Rhinolophus ferrumequinum: one gene and its partner. The main gene of each other region encodes a partner of the protein of the gene in region 2 in a complex. Links are inferred from orthologs where the notes say so. Each region holds a gene or a part of one and is shown on either strand. Other genes may lie near its edges.

Region 1 (11,156 bases), on a different chromosome or scaffold from region 2:
AAATGTTAGCTTGAAGATAGAAAAATATGTCCAGTCTACTGATTTGCTGACCCCTAAAATACATCAACATCTTTATGCACATCTTCAATCTCACTAATGAAATACAATGAGCAGTTCACATATTTACCATCTACTAAGCTTGGCCATGAAATTTTGTTTCAATTAAAATAAAGATTTATTGAGAGTAACAGTCTTCATTTCAAAAAGCTGTACTTTATGGAAAAGAGTATGGTGGTTCCTCAAAAAATTGAAAACTATAGGTATTCCACAGCTTCATGAAAGTTCACTTTATGCCACTTTGCTTTTATGAAAGACTTACATTAGTACCTATTCTTGCTAACCAAAAAAAATCTGAAAATTTTCACTTTTACGAAAAAAAGGCGAAAAGCAAATATAGCGTGATGTGTCCCTAACGCAATTGCTTTTTCACTTTATGCCACTGTGGCTTACAAAAGGCTTTACAGGAACGCTCTACTTTTGGATGGGGGAGGGAGGATATACCATAAGATCCAGCATTTCCACTTCTGAGTATATATATCTAAAAAATTTGAAAGCAGAGTCTCAAAGAGGTATTTGTACGCCCATGCTGACAGCAGCATTATTCACAATGGCCAAAAGTGTCCACCGATGAATAAATGGACAAACAAAATGTGGTATAGACACACAATGGAATACTATTCAGTCTTAAAAAGGAAATTCTGACGAATGTTACAACATGCATGATGAACCTTGAGAACATTATGCTAAGTGAAACAGGCCAGTCATAAAAAGACAAATAATTTATGATTCATTTATATGAGGTATCCAGAGTCATCAAATTCATAGAAACAGAAAGCATTGCCAGGAACTGGGGGGAAAGGAGAACAAGGAATTGTTTAAGGGGTACAGAGTTTCAGTTTTGCAAGATGAAAAGTCCTACAGACTTTTGTTATGTGTCTTTATTATGTGTATTTTGACACAAATTTTTAAAAAGTTGTACTTTAGGCCGGCCAGATGGCTCAGCTGGTTAGAGCGCGAGCTCTCAACAAGGTTGCTGGTTCAATTCCCGCATGGGATGGTGGGCTGCACCCCCTGCAACTAAGACTGAGAACAGCGACTGGACTTGGAGCTGAGCTGCACCCTCAACAACTGGATTGACGACTTGACTTGGAGTGGATGGGTCCTGGAAAAACACACTGTTCCCCAATATTCCCCAATAAAAATTAAAAAAAAAAAAAAAAGTTGTACTTTAAAAATGCCAAGCTAACAAAGGTGTCCCAGCTATTCTTTGTCCGTATTAATTTGCATTCATTAATGACATGGATACATTTTAGTTTATTTAATCTCCTTATCTTTTAACATTGGCTCGTTAGTAATCAAGTAAGGATCAGATTTCAGTAATGCTATAAAAACTAAGGTGTGGTAGGAAAATTTTTATTTCCTGTGTGAAAAATACTTAAGGATCTTAACTTTAACCAAGTCTTGTGTTGCATCTTACATAACAACTTAATTAATAAACTAGTAGAATGTGTTTCACGATGTTTTCCTAAGAATCCTACATTCAAAGAAATATCTTCTTTGGAAAAATCAAAATAACTGAAAGAACAGTGATGGGCTGGGTTAATTTGTGTGTTTCATTTCTGCTTATTCACACCATACCAAATGGGCCAAAGCTCTAGGACAGCAGACAACATATATTTAATTACAACCTCAAAAATATTTTTACAGGCGTCTTAACCATATTATTAAGTGGATGTACTAGGAATCTTAACAATATATTATTAGGTGGATATACAAGTCAAGAAGTATTAATATTTATACCCAAAAAAGAATATTTACATTCAAGGGAGAATACAATCTTGTCAAAATTATTAAACATGCTAAGCAAGGACCTGGATGAAGTATCGAGGCTCCAGTGGTTAGGTTTGCATATGGCATAAAGTACACTCTCACGGTTTTAAAACAAGTAATTTCATAGATCATTTTGTTAAAGGATACAACTACTTGAATCCTCAAGTCCCCTTCAAATTGCTACTGCTGAAGGGAAAACAAATTACTCCATACTATAATTAAATATCTCCAGAAAAAATGCACTTACCCAAGGCTGTCACATCTTTCTACATTGCAAAAGAGGCCCAGGGGACTAAAACAGAGTGATAGGCTATCCATGTGGAGAATATGGGGAAGTGACAGAACAAGCCTACATACATTACCTTGTACTGAAACACGTATATTGAAAAGTCAATAACCTAGTGTCCAAATATTGAGTTTTTAGTTATAAAAGAATGGAACCATCAGCCCCTCTTCTTCTCAGCTGATTGAGCAACTCACCAGGATAGCCCACATCCCACTGCTGCTTTCCTAATGACCACTTAAAGGATTTCTTCAACAGGTTCCATAGAATACATGTTTCTCTGATTTCTCTCAAATATTACCCAAATACAATCTGTCTTGCAACAATGTTATTTATTCAATGCAAATCAGTTCATATGCAATTGGTAAATAAGGGATGTCAAAATAATAGAAAATTTGTTGGTTCACATGTGATTTTTCTCATCATGCTAATGTTTTGAAGTGGTCAGGGCAAATATTTTCACAGTTAAACAGAAAATTTTAGCAATATACAAATACCTTAAGAAAAAAAGGTCAGAATGCTATAGAAATGCCTTTTTATGGAAATATAAGCAAAGACAAATAAAAAAATCACACATCACACACTGTATTAGGAAAAATAAATAGCAAAATGCTTTAGGCCATCTGCATTGGAGAAAGAGGTGAAAATCAACAGTAGATTAACAACCATAGGTTAGAAAGACCCAGGTATAACTTTTGAAATTAGGAAACCCTTGGTGGCTGATAAAAATGTACCCAAAATTATACTGCATATATATTAATAGTATCCTTTAATCAGAAAAAATCTTGTACATCATTATCATCTATTTATGCATTATCATTTTAGAACCCAGAAATCAAAGACATTGATGCTTAGATGACTTTATCAAGTTTAAGTAACTAATGAGTGAAATTATCAAGTCTGGGTATCTGGACATCCAGAGTAGTGTCCTTTCTATCATGCTATTACTTAGAAATTTTAAGATACTGTTTAAAAATATTTTTCTAATAAAAACATTAAATTAAAAAAAAAAGGTTTTAAAAAATCTAAGTTGCTGGTTTGGTGGCTTCAAGAAGTGCTACACTTTGCACTATGTTAAGCTATCTGGGATAGATGAAGAAAATGCAAAGGTATTTCCCTTGGTTAAACAAAAACAGACTAATGGATGGAAGCAGAAGTAGGAGTCCCAAGGTATAGACTATGGGGATGGAATGATTTTCATTATATATCAAAACACCAGTGAGATTTAACTATGCTAGTATTTTTAGTAGAATATTATTAGGGTTCTAGTAACAGAGTTACATAGATTTTGAGCAGACTACTTCAAAACCTATTTCTTCTATAAGCCCTGCTATTTTGTAATGCAGACTTCTGCAGAAAGCAAGGTTTTTCAGGAACACACACAAACATACCTATATAGTAAAAATGCCTCTAACTATATCTTTCCAGAATGCTTTTTTTAAAAAAAGATGATGAGATGCTTAAGGCCAGTAACAGGAGTCTATGATACATTAAGAAGCAATTGGGTTATTTCTCTATGATAGTGATGTAATTGTTAGATTTTCCATCTAAAATTGATATGCATAAATAAAAGGCTCAGCCACAGAGGAAACCAAAGAATAAGAAAAAAAAAGGAGAGAAAACTGGATCTACAAGAGGTCAAAGGAATTGAAGTTTATATATCAAGAAATACCTTCTCCCTCTTGGGTAATTCAGTAACTACTCCAATGCTTGACTACTAATTAATCCCTTATCATAGGAGTTGCACTTTTTCCTCTACTCATCCTGCCCTCTTTACTTCTTTTCAATGATCTAAGCCCTATATAGCCATCAAAACCAAATTCCAAGTGCCAGCTCCTCCATGATGCTTTTCATTGAACCAACTCTTGTTACTTCTCCTTTCACTACATTCACTGTGGACTCATTCATTTGGCATTTTACATGTATCATATTGTATCTGACTTGTTATAAGCATCTATCCTTTAACCCCAACTAAATTTCAAATTCCTTGAGGGCAGGGTCAATGTCATACTTATTTTTGTCTAACTAGAGTCATGCACACTGTAACAACTCAATAGATGTTCGTTTATTTATTTATTTTGGTGTGAGAGTCCTGCCAGGGCATTTGCTAGTTCCAGGGACAAGAGTATGTCTGCGTCGACCTGATATGTATCAAGACAAGATTTAGTGATGGACTAGAAGATAGAGATAAACATTTGAACAAGCTACCACTGTCGTATAGAGTCACTATGTTTGTAGATCTTCAAAACTGATTTGCCTTAAATCATTCAGGGCTCATGCTGGGGATGGGTGATGGGTAGGACTTGAAAAATCTTTTGAGGCTCCTTCGTTTTATGCCTGACACGGGGGACACGGGAGGGGAGAAAAAATTTAAAAACAAACAAAACCGTTTTCAGATTCCTGCTCGGTATGTAAATGACTGAAACAATGTCAGTTCCTCTTCTCATTTAGTAAAACCGAGTGCAACTCTGTGAGGGCCACTGAGATGGGCACTGTGGATATTAAGATGCGGTGCTTGCTCTCTCGGTGTCCCGTCACAGATAAACGACCACTACCAACCAGTCGCTGTAACCGACAGGAACAAAGCGCCATAGAAGCAACAAAAAAAGGGGACTTGCTACTTCGAGAGATAGGGCTGAGACCTGGCAAACGCGACATTCTTTAAGACTTAAGAGGAATCAGCCAGGGGACGGGGGTGGGGCACAGGCGTCAAACCCAGGAAAGCGAACGCAAGGAACCAAAGCCCAGGGTGGGAAGGAACCTCAACTACTTGCAGCGGGGCGAAGCATCTGTGCTACTGAGGGACGAAAGAGAGTACCAATGAACAAGGCATTAAAGAAATAGCCGCTTGGAGAAGGGCTCTCACTCGGGAGCGGTCTTTTTCTACAGGGATCCCTCCCGCACACCCCGGCTACGCATGGGCCAGGATAGCCCCGCGCCTCACCCAGGTGCCCCGAGTCCTGCTTCCGCCTCCGCTGCAGCCTCTCCCGCAGCGAGTCCAGCTGCTTTTTGTGGGCCTGGATGGAGCTCCACGTGTCTGACATCCTAGTCTCACAGCCTGGACAAGTCTCGAATCAGGCGCGGCGGACTAGCACCTCCCAGCCGGAATTCCAGGAAATATTCAATTCTCTCGTGGACACCCCAAGGCGAACCGGAAAGAGATCCCGAGAGATGGCCTAGACGGAAAAGTCACTTCCGGTTTAGCGTTCGCTTTGAAGCTGAAACGAAAGCCATCTTAGGTATTGGCAGGATGGAGGACATATTTTTTAATTGGGCTTCTTGCGTCCTTCCGGGAGCAATGAGGCTGTGGTTGCCATGTTGGTGCCTGGCAAAGAGGCCATGTTGCTTATAGGCGCGCATGCGGCCATGTTTGAGCATAAGGAGATGCTTCCTGAGGGTTGACCTTAAAATAACACTAGTACAGCAGCACGTGTAGTACCGGTATTTAAAATGAAGGATCACTAATTCGTCTCGGCCAAGTTTGATACATACCTTTTCCACTGAAGGTGTAGTGGGTTTATGGTTTCATGCATTCATTTGCAAAGAGCTATTACATTAGTTTCCGCCCTATGGATGTGTATGCGTGGGCATGCTTCTCAGAGAGAAGGAGGACTGATGGATCGATGGTAATATAAGGGGTCTACAAATACATATTCTCACTCTTCTTAATTATATAACATCTACAAGTATCGTGTAATACATTGAAATACAGTCCTCATAAGGGCACATAAAGGGGGCTTCTGAGGTTCAGGTTGCATTGTGTTTCTTTTCTGGATGCTGTTTGCATGAGTATGTCATTTGTGAAAATCAACTGAGCCAAAAATTTTGGTATGTGCACGTCTCTGTAGGTGTAGTAAACTTAAATTAAAAACTTGTATTAAAAATATAGTTAGTATGTAATACTATACTAGTTTCAGGTGTACACAGTAGTTACTCAATCTTTATATACCTAAAGAAGTGATCACCATGATAAGTCCAGCAACCATCTGACACCATACAATACTATCACGATATATTGACTATATTCCCTATGCTGTACATTATATCCCCATGACTTACTTGTTTTATACTTGGAAATTTGGATCACAATTGCCCTTCACCTTTCCCGCTTTTTAATTTTTTCAGTTTCAGTTGACATTCAATATTATTGTCATACAGGGTGTCATGCAGGGTCTCTGGTCCCACTGCCCACCTAAGAACGCAGGATATGGTGAGACCAAAAAGGAACAACACAGAGCCATAGATAGGGAAGTCATACCACTATATTCTCGCTGGTGGCCGGGCAAGACACACACAGTAGGATCCACATAATCGGCAGTCCCCCATTCGTTTCTTCTGCCTGCCAATCAACCAACCAATCAATGCAGTCCCGGCAGTTACATCAGTAGCCAATTGGCTAAACGGTTACAGCTGACAGCGAACCAATCACAGTTGATTGTCATTCATTACCTGAGCCAGCACCTCCCCACAGGAGGCTGAGAGCCTGGAAACTGCTCTCTGGGACTGTGTCCCCACAATTATTTTATATGAATTTCAGGTGTACAGCATATGGTTAGACATTGATATAATTTAAAAAGTGATCCCCCAGTCTGGTACCCACCTGGTGCTATACATAGTTATTTCCATGTTATTGACTATATTCCCATGATTATTTTGTAACCACCAATTTGTACTTCTTAATCCCTTCCCCTTTTTCATCCTGCCTTCCAAGCCCCCTCCCATCTATCACCCCGATAAATCTAGTACCCGTCTGACACCATATGTAATCATTACAATATTACTGACTATAATCCTGATGCTATACCCTATATCCCCATGACTATTTTGTTACAACCAACTTGTACTTAATCTTTCCCCCTTTGTCACCCCCTCCCATCTGGCAACCATCAAAATATTCTCTGTATCTATGAGACTGTTTCTGTTTCGTTTGTTTATTTTGTTCTTTAGATTCCATATATAAACAAAATCACATTACATCTGTCTTTCACTGTCTTATATACTCTACTCAGCACAATACTCTCCAGGTCCATCCATGCCACCACAGATGGCAAGAACCCATTCCCTCCCCTGCCTGAACAATATCCCACTGTATATATGTACCACCCCCTCTTTATCCATTTTGTCAACAGACACCCAGGCTGCCTCTGTATCTTGGCCATTGTAAACAATGCTGCAGTGAATATACAGATGCATACATCCCCTTGAAGGGGCATTTTGGGTTTCTTCGGATAAATAATGGGATTACTGGGTCTTTCTTTGTCTCTTCTTTCAATCTGTGTGTGTCTTTTAATCTGAAGTGAGTCTCTTGTAGGCAGCATATATAACAGTTTTGTTTCCTTATTCATTCAGCCCTCCTAAGTCTTTTGATTGGAGCATTTAATCCATTTACATTGAAAGTAATTGTTGATAGATATATATCTACTGCCATTTTATTATTCGTAATTTTATTTTCTTTTTTTCCATCTTAAAGAAGTCCCTCTAACATTCCTTGTAATACTGTTTGGTGGTGATGAACTCCTTTAGCATCTCTTGTCTGGGAAGCTCTTTATCTGTCCTTCAATTTTCAATGATAGCCTTGCTGGGTTGAGTACCCTTTGTTGTAGGTCCTTTCTTTTCACCACATTGAATATTTCCTGTCATTCCCTTCTGTCCTGCAAAGTTTCTGTTGAGAAATCAGTTGGCAGTCTTATGGGAGCTCCCTTGTGGGTAACTAACTGCTTTTCTTTTGCTGCTTTTAGGATTCTCTCTTTGTCTTTAACCTTTGCAATCTTCATTATAATGTATCTTGGTGTGGGACTATTTGGGTTCATCTTGTTTGGGATGCTGCAATTCCTGGACTTGAATGTCTATTTCTTTCACCTGGTTAGGAAAGTTTTCAATCATTATTTCTTCAAATAGATTCTCAATCCCTTGCTTTCTCACTTCTCCTTCTGTTATGACTGTGATGTGACTGTTGTTATACTTGATATTGTTCCAGAGGTCTCTTAAACTATCCTCATTTTTAAATTTATTTTTATTTATTTATTTATTTACTTATTTACTTATTTACTTTGCTGTACTGATTGGGTGTTTTCTGCTACCTTGTCTTCCAAATTGTCTATTTGATCCTCTGCTTCATCTAGTCTGCTGGTGATTCCTTCTGGTGAATTCTTCATTTCAGTTATTGTATTCTTCACTTCTGACTGGTTCTTTTTTATGGTTTCTATGTCCTTTTTATGCTTGCAATTACTTTGTAGAAGTTCCTTGAACATCGTTATAACCGTTGTTTTGAACTCTGTATCTAGTAAGTTGCTTGCCTCCATTTTGTTTAGTTCTTTTCCTAGAATTTTCTCCTGTTTTTTCATTCAGGACTTATTTCTGTTTCCTCATTTTTGCTGCCTCTCTGTGTTTGTTTTTATGTATTAGGTAGGGCTGCTATGTCTCCCAATCTTGCCGGGTGGCCTTAAGTAGTAGGGATCCTGAGGAGCCCAGTGGCACAGTCTCCCTGGTCACCTGAGCCGGGTGCTCCAGGAGTGTCCCTCATGTGGGTTGTGTGTGCCTTCCTGTTATAATTGAGCCTTGATTGCTGTTGGCATGTCAGTGGGTGGTATTGACCCTCAGGATGTCTGGCTATGGCATTTGGCCACATCAACAGCTTATGGGCTGCTGTGCTGGGGGCTTACCCCATGGAGTGGGATTTGCCTCAGTGGGCTCTGGTGCTTCTTGAGACCACCCTTTGTTTGTGCCACTTGTGGGGCCAATTGGGCAGTGTTCTGAAGCCAACCTCCAACTATTTTGGTTCTTGGGGCCTTTGGGGAGGCCCAGGTCAGCCACTGCTTGTGATTGGCCAGGGAGTACCTGGTAGGAACTACAAAGTGATCCACATTTGGTCCTTGCCTGTGCTATACCTGGAGGCCATGCTGAGAACCAAGGACAGCTGCCACCAGTACAAGGTCTGGGGTAGCTCTGCAAAAAGCCAGGACACCTGGAGGCCTGCTGCCACCTGCTGGTTCTCGTCCGGTTCAGCCGCTAATAAAGACTCCTGCAGTATGCAAGTTGGGTGAGGCAGGGTCTCAGTGAGTCAACAGGGTGGAGCAGTGGAGCTCACCAGGCCAATCAGATTCAGATTTGGTCCATGGGGGCAGGCTCAACACAGGAAAAATGTTGCCCACCTGCTGCCTGCATTCAATCAGTGCCCCACACAGGGAAAATGGGGACTGTCCCTCCAGTCCTCACCCCAAAGTTACACAACTCAGTCTCTCCCTATGTGTCTCCAATGCACCCCAAGTCACCATCCTCCACCGGAGCCAAGGCTGAATGCCTGCATGGGCCCTTTAAGAGGATATCTGGGTTTCCTCCAGCCTTCAGTTGCACCCAGATGGTTGGAATCCCCATTGTTTTTCACAGCCAGAAGTTGTGAGCACTCCTCTTCCCAGAAACATACTCCAGGCTGGGGAGTCTGCTGTTGGGGGCTGGGGTCCCTCGCTCTTTCGTGGGGAACCTCTGTGGCTGACATATCTCTCCCAATTTGAAATCACCACACGTGAGTGTGGGACCAGCCTGTTTCATGTCTCCACCCCTCCTACCAGTCTCGATGTGGCCTCTTCTTTATAGCCTTAGTTATAAAACTTCTGTTCAGCTAGACTTCAGATGGTTCTCCAGGTTGATTGTTCTATTAATTTGGTTGTAATTTTCATGTGTTCATGGGATGAGGCAAGTACAGTGTTTATCTGTTCTGCCATCTTGGATCTCCCTAGCTCTAAAAGTTGTGTATTTTTAAAGGTGTCCTCTGAATGGGAGCATTTAGAAACCACTGATTGATCAAATGTCTGCATGATGCCAAACATTGTGTCAGAAATAATAGCTTGAAAAGTCATGGCTCCTGTTTTCAAAGAGTTTCTAGCCTGGTAAACGACCTAAGGCCCAGTTCATTAATATTGAACTATCCCTATTTGAGGCCAGGTTGCAAACTCATGAGTAAAGAGCTTGCAATTTATTCAGAATATAACAGGGAATAATTTAGGGTTTGTGAATAGGGAGTGTTTTAAGGTTGGTCTGGTGTTCTAGTTGGATTGAGATGGGGAGGAGAGTTTAGAGATAGGGAAAATGGTTAGTAGCCTATTATAACTAAGTGTTTAATGATAGGAGCCTTATTTAATTCAGAAGCTGGTTGTGGATAGTAACGGAAAGGAAACAGTAAATATGAAAGGGAGGTATTGAGAAGAAAGATGTATATGTATTGGAATGTGGCAATTTTATCCATTTATTCAGCAAATATTGAGTGACTACCACATGCTAGGAAATTAGTAGTGATCAAAATATTCTTTTCAGGGGTTGCCAGTTAGCTCAGTTGGTTAGAGTGGGGTACTAATAACACCAAGGTTGTCAGTTCGATCCCCGCATGGGCTACCGTGAGCTGTGCTCTCCTTAAAAATAAAAATAAAAAAAAATTTCCATCTCATTTTTCTGAATTTAATTTACTTAGTAGGTCATTTACACTGTCTTTTGAGATGTGTAACTTTGTATATGAACCTAGAAGAAGAGGACACAGAAATGAATATGCACTCACCTGAGCATCTCTGGACATTTAATTCGCAGGATTACACACAATAAGAAGCAAAAATGCTGTCTTCCTCCGGTGCAATACTCTTGGGAAAGTTGGCTGATGTGAGATCATGGAAGAATGCTCAAGGGGACTGCTCTACCTAAAGGTTTTTGCTTCCTTTAGTAACCTCGGTCTAGCAACTGCTCTCAGTACAGTTAATAAGGGATGCTTTTGTATTTTCATTTGGGGTGTATCCTGTGTGGCCTTATGCTTAGACATATGTATTATTACTAATGTAAGATAGCCCTATTATTGCTATATTATAGCACTGTTAAATTAATAGTTAATTATTCACAGGTACATTTGAGATCTTGCTCCCCAGCATGTCGTCAGTTTGGCTCAAGTAAACTCTTATGAAGGTTTAAAAAAAAGAAAAAATGAAACCAAACCAAAACAATTAATTGTTCACAAATCTGAATCTCTCACTTGTTATAAGATTACTGTTTCTTTCAAGGTCCT
Region 2 (10,664 bases):
AATAATATTTTCTGCAATTCACCTCGCTGATGTTCTGCTTAGGCCAATACAGACCTACAATCCCTTATTGGAAACCTCTAGAGCCAGATGCCTTTTAGATTCCTGACTTTTTAGATTTTTAGAAAGGTAATATGATACAAATACTACGTATTATAACACTTAACACACTCAATGGTTTCTGAGGCAGTCACATGTATCTTGTAAGGAAAACAATATTTCTGCAGTCACATGTATAAACAAACATTCCCACTATAAATAAAGATCATTAACTACCATCATGTCAGTTCAAATCAGATTGCATGGCCAAATGAATTCAGGGTAGGTTTTTCTGCCATTTTAGAATTCCTGAATTCTAAATATGGAATTCAGATAATGGATTGTGGATCTGTACTTAAATTAACTTAACCTACTAAACATACCAACTAATCAAAAGATCAAGGGAAGCAATTTAGGTATTGAATAGTTGAGGTAAACCCTCTCTGAAATTTAAAAAAAGAAAAATCCACAAACTAAGAGTTTATCATAATAAAAGAAATGGATAGCATACATTTACTGTATACTTATTTTTTTTGTATTATATGACACAGAATCAAACAAATGAAGCTCTTGTGATCAATAATTTAAAAATAAAATTTCACATTGCTTTTGGACTGCTTTTCTTAGCAGTTCAGCCAGCCTGATCATTATCTAGTGGTCAAAGTTCACAATAAGAATGGTTCACGCTATTTGCATCTAGAAGGACCAAATCTTGAGCCTCTCTTGAAGCTGAGAAGAATATCATGCATATCAACAGACCAAAAAACTGTTCAAATTAGTCTTTCCTAAAATGTGTACAGTATCATAAATACATAAACCAATAACACGGTCATTGATTATTACCAAGTATTATATACTATACATAATTTTAAGTGCTAAACTTTCATATGATTGGCAGCACAGTAGGTTTGTTTACATCAGTGTTACCACAAACCCGTGAGTAATGAGTTGCACTAGGACATTACAACAGCTATGACACTAGACAAAGGAAATTTTCAGCTCCATTATAATCTATGGGACCGCTATCATATATCCAGTTCATTGTTGAATGAAATGTTGTTATGCAGCTCATGACTATACATAGAAGCTCCGTGGTACATGGCTATAAAGTCTCATTAGTATCTACAAAGGAACTTTAGAAGAAAAGTTTATCAATTCTATCCTCCTCCACCACGCCTTCAATTAATTAATTAATTAATGGTATTAGTAGTAATTAGGGTATAGTCATTGTGGACCTACAAAAATGAACTTTAGATTTTACAAACAGCCTTTTAAAATATTCTGCTTGTAAGTAGAAGAGTTTCTGTATTAGGCACTACCACTTTTATTCAACAATTATTTCTAAACATTTATTAAAAGTATATTATGTTCCAAGGTATGCTAGGTCCTGTGGATACAAAGACAAGACATAGTCTCTGCCATTAAGGAACAATCTATTGGGGTAGACAGAAAGATAAATTGCTGTAACACAGACTCACACAGAAAACTGAAAATTCAGAGAAGTATTTACCTAACTCTGATTGTGAGCAAATATTTATGGGGGGAAAAGAGTGTCTGGGAAGTAGCACCTGAGCTAATTAAGTCTGCAAGGAAAACAAGAATCAGTGGAAGAGAAAGAGAAGGAAGAGCTTTCCAGACAAAGGAAGAAACATGCACAAAAGGAAAGCAAACAAGAACTTGGAAGGGTCAAGTAATTGTAAGCACAGTTCACCATGTCGAGAGGGCAAAATGGGAGAGGGAAGTAGAGCAGAGTAGCTAAGTACAATAAATAAAATTACAAGAAATAAGATTTTCATCCACTGCCAGAGGTCGACTTCAAATCCTTATCTCCACCTCGAACATCTCTCCGGAGCCCCAAACCACTATATCAAACTGCCAACTGGATATCCCCATTTGAATGTTCCTCTGGCACTACAAACTCAGCAAGTCCAAAACTGAACTCTGCTCAAAAACTACCCATTTCCTACAAAATAAAGTCTGTACTCCTCTGTTGAGCATCAAGGAATTCTATGACCTGGCTTGGAACCACCTTTCAGGTGCCACTTCGCACTGCTACTTTCGCATACACTACAGAAGACTGACTATTCCAAGAGAATATCCTCCTTTCCTGTCTACTACTGTGGAACATACCCTCTTCCACCAAAGATCAAGTTGAGATGCCAACTGCCTTGATGAAGTCTTTCCTAATGCTCTCAAATAAAGATCTCTCCTCGGAAATCACACAACCTTTATTTGTACCAACAAAAGGGGGCTAAATAAATACCAACTGGGGTCCTAGTATGTCAGAAAGTGATGGGCATTCTGTCTCTTTATGCACTCATCACATTCTAACTTGAATCATAATGTTGTAGACCTACTCTCCAATACTTAGTTATAAACTCCTTTAAAACAAAACATCTCAATAATCCATATCCCTCCCAAGTCAAAAAATAACATTGTAATAACTAAGTATAGTGCCAGGTGGATACTAGACTAATGGGAGGATCACGTCATAAATTATATAAATGTCCAACCACTATGCTGTACACCTAAAACAAATATAAAATAAACTGCCAACTGTAATTGACAAATAAAATAATAAATTTTTAAAAATAGGCTTCAGATACAGGAAAAGGTTCCAGGAAATCAGGATCCAGAACTAAAATTTTTTTTAAAAAAAATCCATATCCCCCTATAAATTCCCACTTCTCCTTCAGGACTCAGTTCAAATGTGATCTCTACTAAGCCTTCCCCAAACATTGCCAGGATACTGTTCCTATCCTCTCATGGTCCTCAATGTTTGTCTAAGAATGAATAAAGAAATACCAGATTCTTAAATATATAAGTGAATGAATGCTAATTTTCCTAAACTAAAATACTACTAATTCATCATATGCTTCTTTCTTTCATTTTTAACTGTTCTCTATTTCTGTACACATGACAGGTTTGTTCTGATCCAACTACGGCCTCCATTGTGAGTTTTCTAAAGCCTAGGTGGAATTACAGCCAGAAAAGTATGGTCATTGAACAAAGAGCTAATTGACCTACATGAAATGCGAGACAACAAATTAATTCATTGTTAGTAAGACATGCTAAAGTTTCCAAACATTTTATTTTTATACACCTATAAACCACTCATTAAAGTAACTAGAAGACCAACGTTGACATTTTTTTATTTTGTCAAGTAAAGCATTAAGATACAACCACTACCCACTATTATCACTATCTCCAAGGAAAGAATAGTTCTCTAAAATGATTAAGTCTACACTGAAAGAAAATGTGTGGGTTCTGAGGTTTCTTTAATTTCTCTGTGGACTTTCTTAATGTTCATTTTTGACCGGCTTTCGAGAACTCATAGCTATTTAGCTACATTCAATTTACATACCGCAGAGCCAGTCATATATGTTCAGGGCCGCTCAGATTATTACCGAACGATTACTCCACAATTCCCCACCCTCGCCCCTCAAAACGACAATACTACAGTGCTTTATAGTTTGACTACAATTCTCTCAATTTTCCCCTCCTCGCAGGTATTCTCCACGCAAAAGCCGTTCCATGTAAGTATTTCATGTCCTAATGAGTGAAATCTTTCCAGGAGGTAAGTATTAAAGTTTCAGGGCAAACTGGAGAACGCCGCAATCCTAAACCGAATGAGTGCCACATCTGGGCAACCCAACTCCCGTTAGGAAATGGACCTAGTAGAAGGGAGTTAGGAACCACGAAGCCAAGGTGAGCTGATCGGTTACCTGCACTACTGTCAAACACAAGCGGTCTGAGGACCCTTCCCAAACACCCCCTGAGGTACACCTGAGAACCAAGATCATTTCAAGGCCTAAAGCTGAAGGGGGGAGGGGGAGAGCAAAACAAGCTGAGCAGCCACCTCAACCAAAGAGGCGGGAGCCTGAGGTAACAACGCAGAGAAATGTGGGGGCCACCGTTGCCCTCCCTCAGACGCAGTACCCACACACTGCTGGGAGGGAGGGGGGGTGTATGTGAGGAATTAAAGCGGCAACCGGCAGGAAGAAAAGTGGAAGCACGCCTAAGGATTTTTTTGTAAGGGTACCAAAGTCGAGAAGCAGGGTCAGAATCAAATAGTGAAGACTTACCTCAGCGTTCGGGTGCTTAAAAGTATCTAAAAATAACAGCTCCATCGCTGAGTCCACCGCCATGTTTGCCACGGGAGGGGAAAGGGGGAGGACTTCCGGGGCAGCCGTCCAACCTCAGCGACTGCGGCTCAGGAGACAGAGAGATAGACAGAGAGTGAGAGAGAGGGAGACGGAGAGGGAGAGGGAGAGGGGGAGGGGAGGGGGAAAGAGAGGGAGGGAGAGACAGAGAGACAGAGACAGAGAGACAGAAAGACAGAGAGAGACAGCAGCACTTCCGGAGACCGGAGCGCTAGTGCCTCAAGCCTTGGCCTATCCCGAAGCGCGGTACTTCCCGAAGTCGCCGGCCCCGCCTACTCCAGCGCGGCGGAGGGCTCCCTCGAAGCACCGAAGAGGTGGAGGGAGAAGAGGGGAGGACTACGGTGACTCCAGTGGTCCAAACTCTGTTATTCTACCGCGTTACAAAGCCGCAATGGCCTCGGAGTGGCGGAGTGTCGAGCAGGTTTTGAAGAGGTGGAGGAGTGGGGAAAGCTGCCGGCTCTGGATACCCAGTGAAACCGCCAGCAAGCAGACAGTTTTTCCAAGACTGGCATGAAAAAAGTGCAATTATCTAAGTTGAATAGTAAGACACTTCTTAAAAAGAAGAAAAGAAACGTCTTAAAACGAAGAGATTTTTTTCTCATCTTCAAAATGTAAATAATAATACCCAACCCACAGGCTTTTTGTGAGGATAAATTGAAATAAAAATTCAAGAAATTGTATAACGTGAAATGCCATCAACATCAAAATGTAGAGTGAAAAGTCGCCGTCTCCCTGTTGAGCATTGCAGCAACTGGAACTATTTGGTAGTCTATATAGACAGGAGTGCTTGGGAAAGCAATTAGGAATTATTTAGTGAAATTACACGTGCCTACCTCACTTCTAGGAAAATTCTTGCACTCGTGCCCAAAGATACACCTACAGATACAAGAATGTACATGGCAACACTATATTGCAAAAAAAGCTGTAAACTTGTCATTAACGAGAATAATAAGTAAACCTTGGTATATTTATACAACGTGGTTGTTGTATATAGCAGGTAGAAGGAGTGAACTAGTGCTATATCTACTAACATGGATAATCTAAAAAACGGTTAAGCAAACAGGTTGAAGAATAGTGTAAAATCACCTTTATATAGTTCAAAACATGCAAAATTACGTAAATTTTTAGGGGCATATATGTTTTAAAATTATGAAGAAATGCATTGGAATGATAAACACTAAAATGTCAAGATAGTGGTGAACTGGAGGGAGATGTAATTGAGAAGTGCACAGGGGCTTCAAATGCTTTGGTAATATTTTGTTCTTTAGATTGGTGGTGGTTTCACAGTTGTGTCTTACATTATTGTCTGTGCCTTTTGATATGTCTGAAATATTTAATAATGCATTCATTTTTCAGTTTTAAAGTAAATGTCCCATCCACCCCTTCCTCAGCCACCAGTTTCCTCTGTTAACTAATAGTTTGTCTCTTTTACTATTTGTTTTTTCAAAGAACCAGTTCTTGCATTCGTATTTATTATTTCCAGCGTTTTTCTATTTTCTGATTCTTTAGTTTCTGCTTTGGAATTTACTAATTCCTTCTGCTTTAACTTCTATAGTGATGCTTAAGTTATTTATATTCATATATCTTATTACTATATATATTTATGTCTACCAACTTTCACCTAGGCTCTGCTTTAACTGTTAATATACCTTATAGTGCTTTATATTATTGGTATATTTTACATAGTCTGATTTTCTTAGCTTTGATTTTCATTTTGACCTAAGAGTAGTGTGCGATAGCTATTTTTTTAACTAATAGACTATTTTTTAGAGTAGTTTTAGTTTTCCAGGTAATTGACCAGATAATTCAGAGCTCCCATATATTCCGTTTTTCCCCTGTTCAAGGATTCCTCTATTATTAATATCTTGTATTGATGTGATGCATTTATTATAATTGAACCAGTATTGACATATTATTATTAACTAAAGTCCGTGACTTACATTAGGATTCACTATTTGTGTTGCTCATATGTACTATATGTATATTTGAATTTATAGACTATCTCTGAAGGAATTATGCAAGAAACTGAGAATAGTTGTTGCCTCCTGGGAGGGAGCTTGATGGCTAAGGTACAGAAATAGAGGGACTCTGTTTCCATGTACATATATTACCTATTAAGTAAAATTTTAAAAGATTAATAAAAATTGAGGAGTAGAGGAAATCTTGTATAAACATCTCTTCCAAGAAATTTGTTGCATAGAACAGAGAAATTAGGTGGTTGTTCGAGGGGAACATGGGGTCAAGAGAGAGTGTTTTTAAGATGGGGGCATAAATGACATAAATGTTATACAGAGTGTGCAGACTGATGGGAATGAAGCAATGGAGAGAGAAACAGTGATGAAGAAGAGAGAAAGGGGATATCTGAGGCAGCAAAGTATTGAGTATGTGGGCAGGGAACCCAAGTAGAAAGTGACCTTTGCTAGAAAAATCACCTGCTCCCTGGTAACAAGGGGAAAGGAGTCCATGGGTGCACATACAGATAGGAATAATGACTTAGTATGTGGAAATGAGGGAGTTCCTTTTTAATGGTTTCTTTGTCTCAATGAGATCATCAGCTATGACTGAGAGGGCAGAAAGATGTCTAAGAGGTCAAAGAAGAGAGAAGGTATTAACTAGACTTCCGGGAGAGCCCCGAATCCCTGGTTGGCTATCTATCACCTCTCATAGTTTGTAAGGCATCATACTCACTTCTTGCTCACTCTTTCACCTTGTCCCTACCACACCACTTTGATGATTCAGCCATTCCCAGCTAGATGTAGCTCGCCTAATACAGAGGTAAGAGATATAAGAGATGTGAATCTCTTACATGGTTTTCTTTGCTTTGAATGTGACTCCTCAATACGGCTTTCAAAAATCTACACACAGTTAAAATATAATGCAAAAGAATAAAATAGCTAAGGAATAACTAACCAAGAAGGTGAAAGGCTTGTACACTGAAAACTACAAAATATTGCTGGAAAAAAAATTAAAGAAGACTCAAATAAATGGAAAGACATCCATGTTTATGGATTAGAAGACTTAATATTGTTAAGATTACAATGTTACCCAAAGTGATCTATAGATTTAATGTAATCCCTATCATAATTCTAATAGTTTTTTTTTAGAAATGGAAAATATGATCCTCAAATTAATACAGAATTGCAGAGGAACCCCAAATAGTCAAAATAATCTTTGAAAAGAACAAGTTTGGAGGACACACACTCCTAATTTTAAAACTTACTGTAAAACTACAGTAATCAAAACTAGTAATGGCATAAATGTAAACATGTAGACCCAATGGAATAGAATTAAGAGTCCAGAAATAAACCTTAACATACTCGTATATACTGAATTGATTTTCAACAAGAGTGTCAGGGCTATTTGATAGGGAAAGAATAATCTCTTCAATAAATGGTGCTCGGATAACTGGCTATATGCAAAAGAATGCATTTGGACCCTTATCTAATGCCATATACAAAAATGAACTCAAAATGGATGAAGGACCTAAATATAAGAGCTAAAATCATGAAACTCTTAGAAGACAACATACAGGTAAATCTTCACTGCCTGGGATTTGGCAATAGATTCATAGATATGATACAAAAAACACAAGCAACAAAGGAAAAAATAAATTGGACTTCCTCAAAATTAAAAACTTTTGTGCATCAAACTTAAACTATCAAGAGAGTAAAAAGAAAACCTACAGAATGGGAGAATATATTTGCCAATTATATATTTGATAAGGGTCTACTCTCCAGAATACGTAAAGAACTCTTACAACGCAACAACAAAAAGATAAACCAACCGGTTAAAAAATGGGCAAAAGGACTTCAATACACATTTCTCCAAAGAAGTTGTACAAATGACCAATAAGCACATGAAAAGATGTTCAACATCTTTAGTTATGAGGGAAAGGTAAATCAAAATTACAATGAAATACTTCACACCCATTAGGATGACTATAACTTTAAAAAATAAGTGTTGGCAAGGATGTAGAGAAATTGGAACCCTTGTATATTGATAGTGGGAATGTAAACTGTTACAGCTGCTGTGGAAAGCAGTTTGGCAGTTCCTCAAAAAGTTAAACAGAATTATCATATGACCAAGCAATTTTACTGCTGGGTATGTACCAAAAGAATTGAAAACAGGTGCTAAATTACTTTTACACACATGTTCAGAACAGCACTACTCACAATGCCCAAAAGGTCAAAACAACCCAAATATCCATCGACAAATAAATGGATAAACAAAATGTGGTATATTCATACTCCCTATCCCCTTATTGTCTACTCCTACTCCTCAAGAGATTTGATATTCACACATTTCTTTTTTTTATTATTACTTTATATTAATTTCAGGTGTACGGCATAGTGGCTAGACATATATGAGGTGTGATCAAACAATATGGTGAATGTTTAAATAAAAAAATTTATTACACTAAAAGACACATTGCCATTAATCCCTCTCAAAATATTCCCCCTCCCTTGAAACACACTTATCCCATCATTCTTGCCACTTTCTGAAACAGTTCTGGAAGTCCTCTTTCGTGAGTCTTTAGTTGCGCTGTCGTGGCTGCCTCGATGTCCTGAATCATTTTGACTTTAGGGAAGAGCCAGAAGTTGAACGATGTCAGATCCGGTGAATAAGGTGGATGAGAACAGACCGTAATGGTTTTATTTGACAGAGATTGCTGTATACCTGAAGCGATGTGTGACATGGAGCAATTGTCATGATGATGGATGATTTACAGAACACTTTAAAACACACCTTCTCTCAATCATAGCTCACACCTGACTGACTGCATCAAACTTCTCGCATACTAAGGTCTGACGCACCACTTCCCATTGAAGCATCCCTGCCTTTCTGTTGGATGGCACTCTGCAGCAGCATTCACTGTATTTCTTGATCACAATGGAAAGACTCCATCATGACAATGCTCCATATCACACACCACTTCTGGTATGGCAATTTCTGTCAAATAAAAACAGAGTGTGTCCTCATCCACCTTATGCACAAGATCTGGCACCATGCGACTTCTGGCTCTTCCCCAAAGTCAAAATGTCCATGAAAGATAAACATTTGGAATAGATTCAGGACATCAAAGGAGCCACAACAAGAAAGAGGACTTTTAGAATTGCTTCAGAAAGTGGCGAGAATGATGGGATAAGTGTGTTCGAAGGGAGGAGAAATGTTTTGAGGGGGATTAATGGCAATGTGTCTTTTACTGTAACAAATTTTTTAAATTTAAACATTCACCATATCTTTTTTCCACATCCCGTAATTTAAGAAGTGATCCTCCTGACAAGTCTAGTACCCACCGCGCACTATACATAGTTACTACCATATTATTTACTATGTTCCTTGTGCTTTGTATTCCCATGACTATTTTGTAACTTCTTAATCTTGTACTTCAGACGTAATTTGTACTTCTTAATCTCTTCACCTTTTGCACAGTGTCCCTCAACCCCCTACCATCTATTACCCCAATAAATCTAGTACCCATCTGACACCATAAATAGTTATTACAATATTATTGACTATATTCCTTATGCTATACCCTGCATCTCCATGACTATTTTATAACAACCAATTTGTACCTCTTAAGCACTTCACCTCTTTTCACCCATTCCCAACCCCCCTCCCATGTGGCAACCATCAAAATGTTTTCTGTATCTATGAGTTTGTTTCTGTTTTATTTGTTTTGTTCTTTAGACATATAAGCAAAATCACATTGCATCTGTCTTTCTCTGTCTAACACTCCACTCAGCACAATATCCTCCAGGTCCATCCATGCCATCACAGATGGCAAGAACCCATTCCCTTCCCTGCCGAGCAATATTACATTGTATATATGTACCACCTCCTCTTTATCCATTCACCCATTGATGGACACCCAGGCTGCCTCCACATCTTGGCTATTGTAAATAATGCTGCAGTGAATATATGGATGCACACATCCCCTCGAAGTAGCATTTTGGATTTCATCAGATAGATACCCAGAAGTGGAATTACTGAGTTCCTCTTTGTGTCTTATTATAGCTTTTGTTTTAAAGTATATTTTGTCTGGTATAAGTATTGCTACCCCAGATTTTTTTGTTTCTGTGTTTGTTTCATTTCCATTTTCATGGAAAAAAAATTTTCATCACTTTTTTCATCCCTGTGTGCATCTTTAAATCTGAATTGGGCCTCTTGTAAGTAGCATATGTAAGGGTTTTATTTTTTATCCATTCAGACCTCCTATGTCTTTTGATTGGAGCATTTAATCCATTTATATTGAAAGTAATTGTTGATAGATACATAGCTACTTCCATTTTATTATTCATAATTTTGCTTTTTTTTCATCTTAAAAAAGTCCCTCTAACACCCCTTGTAATACTAATTTGGTGGTGATGAACTTCTTTAGCTTGATATTGTCTGGGAAGCTCTTTATTTCTCCTTTGATTCTGAAAGCTTTGCTAGGTAGAGTAATCTGTGTTGTAGGTCCTT

What was found. Proteins that work in one complex are often made in the same cells at the same time.
Region 1: VIRMA (region 2) and METTL3 share a complex: the UniProt entries of both Homo sapiens proteins name them as parts of the WMM complex. The link is inferred for Rhinolophus ferrumequinum from reciprocal best matches to the Homo sapiens genes VIRMA and METTL3.

What each region holds. Positions count from the first base shown.
Region 1 is NC_046289.1:72,311,320-72,322,475, forward strand, and holds the start of METTL3 (N6-adenosine-methyltransferase catalytic subunit), read right to left. Parts: upstream 5,267-11,156; 5' UTR 5,158-5,266; coding exon 5,058-5,157; intron 1-5,057. UniProt on the Homo sapiens protein: The METTL3-METTL14 heterodimer forms a N6-methyltransferase complex that methylates adenosine residues at the N(6) position of some RNAs and regulates various processes such as the circadian clock, differentiation of embryonic and hematopoietic stem cells, cortical neurogenesis, response to DNA damage, differentiation of T-cells and primary miRNA processing.
Region 2 is NC_046297.1:35,888,986-35,899,649, forward strand, and holds the start of VIRMA (protein virilizer homolog), read right to left. Parts: upstream 4,438-10,664; 5' UTR 4,185-4,437; coding exon 4,122-4,184; intron 1-4,121. UniProt on the Homo sapiens protein: Associated component of the WMM complex, a complex that mediates N6-methyladenosine (m6A) methylation of RNAs, a modification that plays a role in the efficiency of mRNA splicing and RNA processing.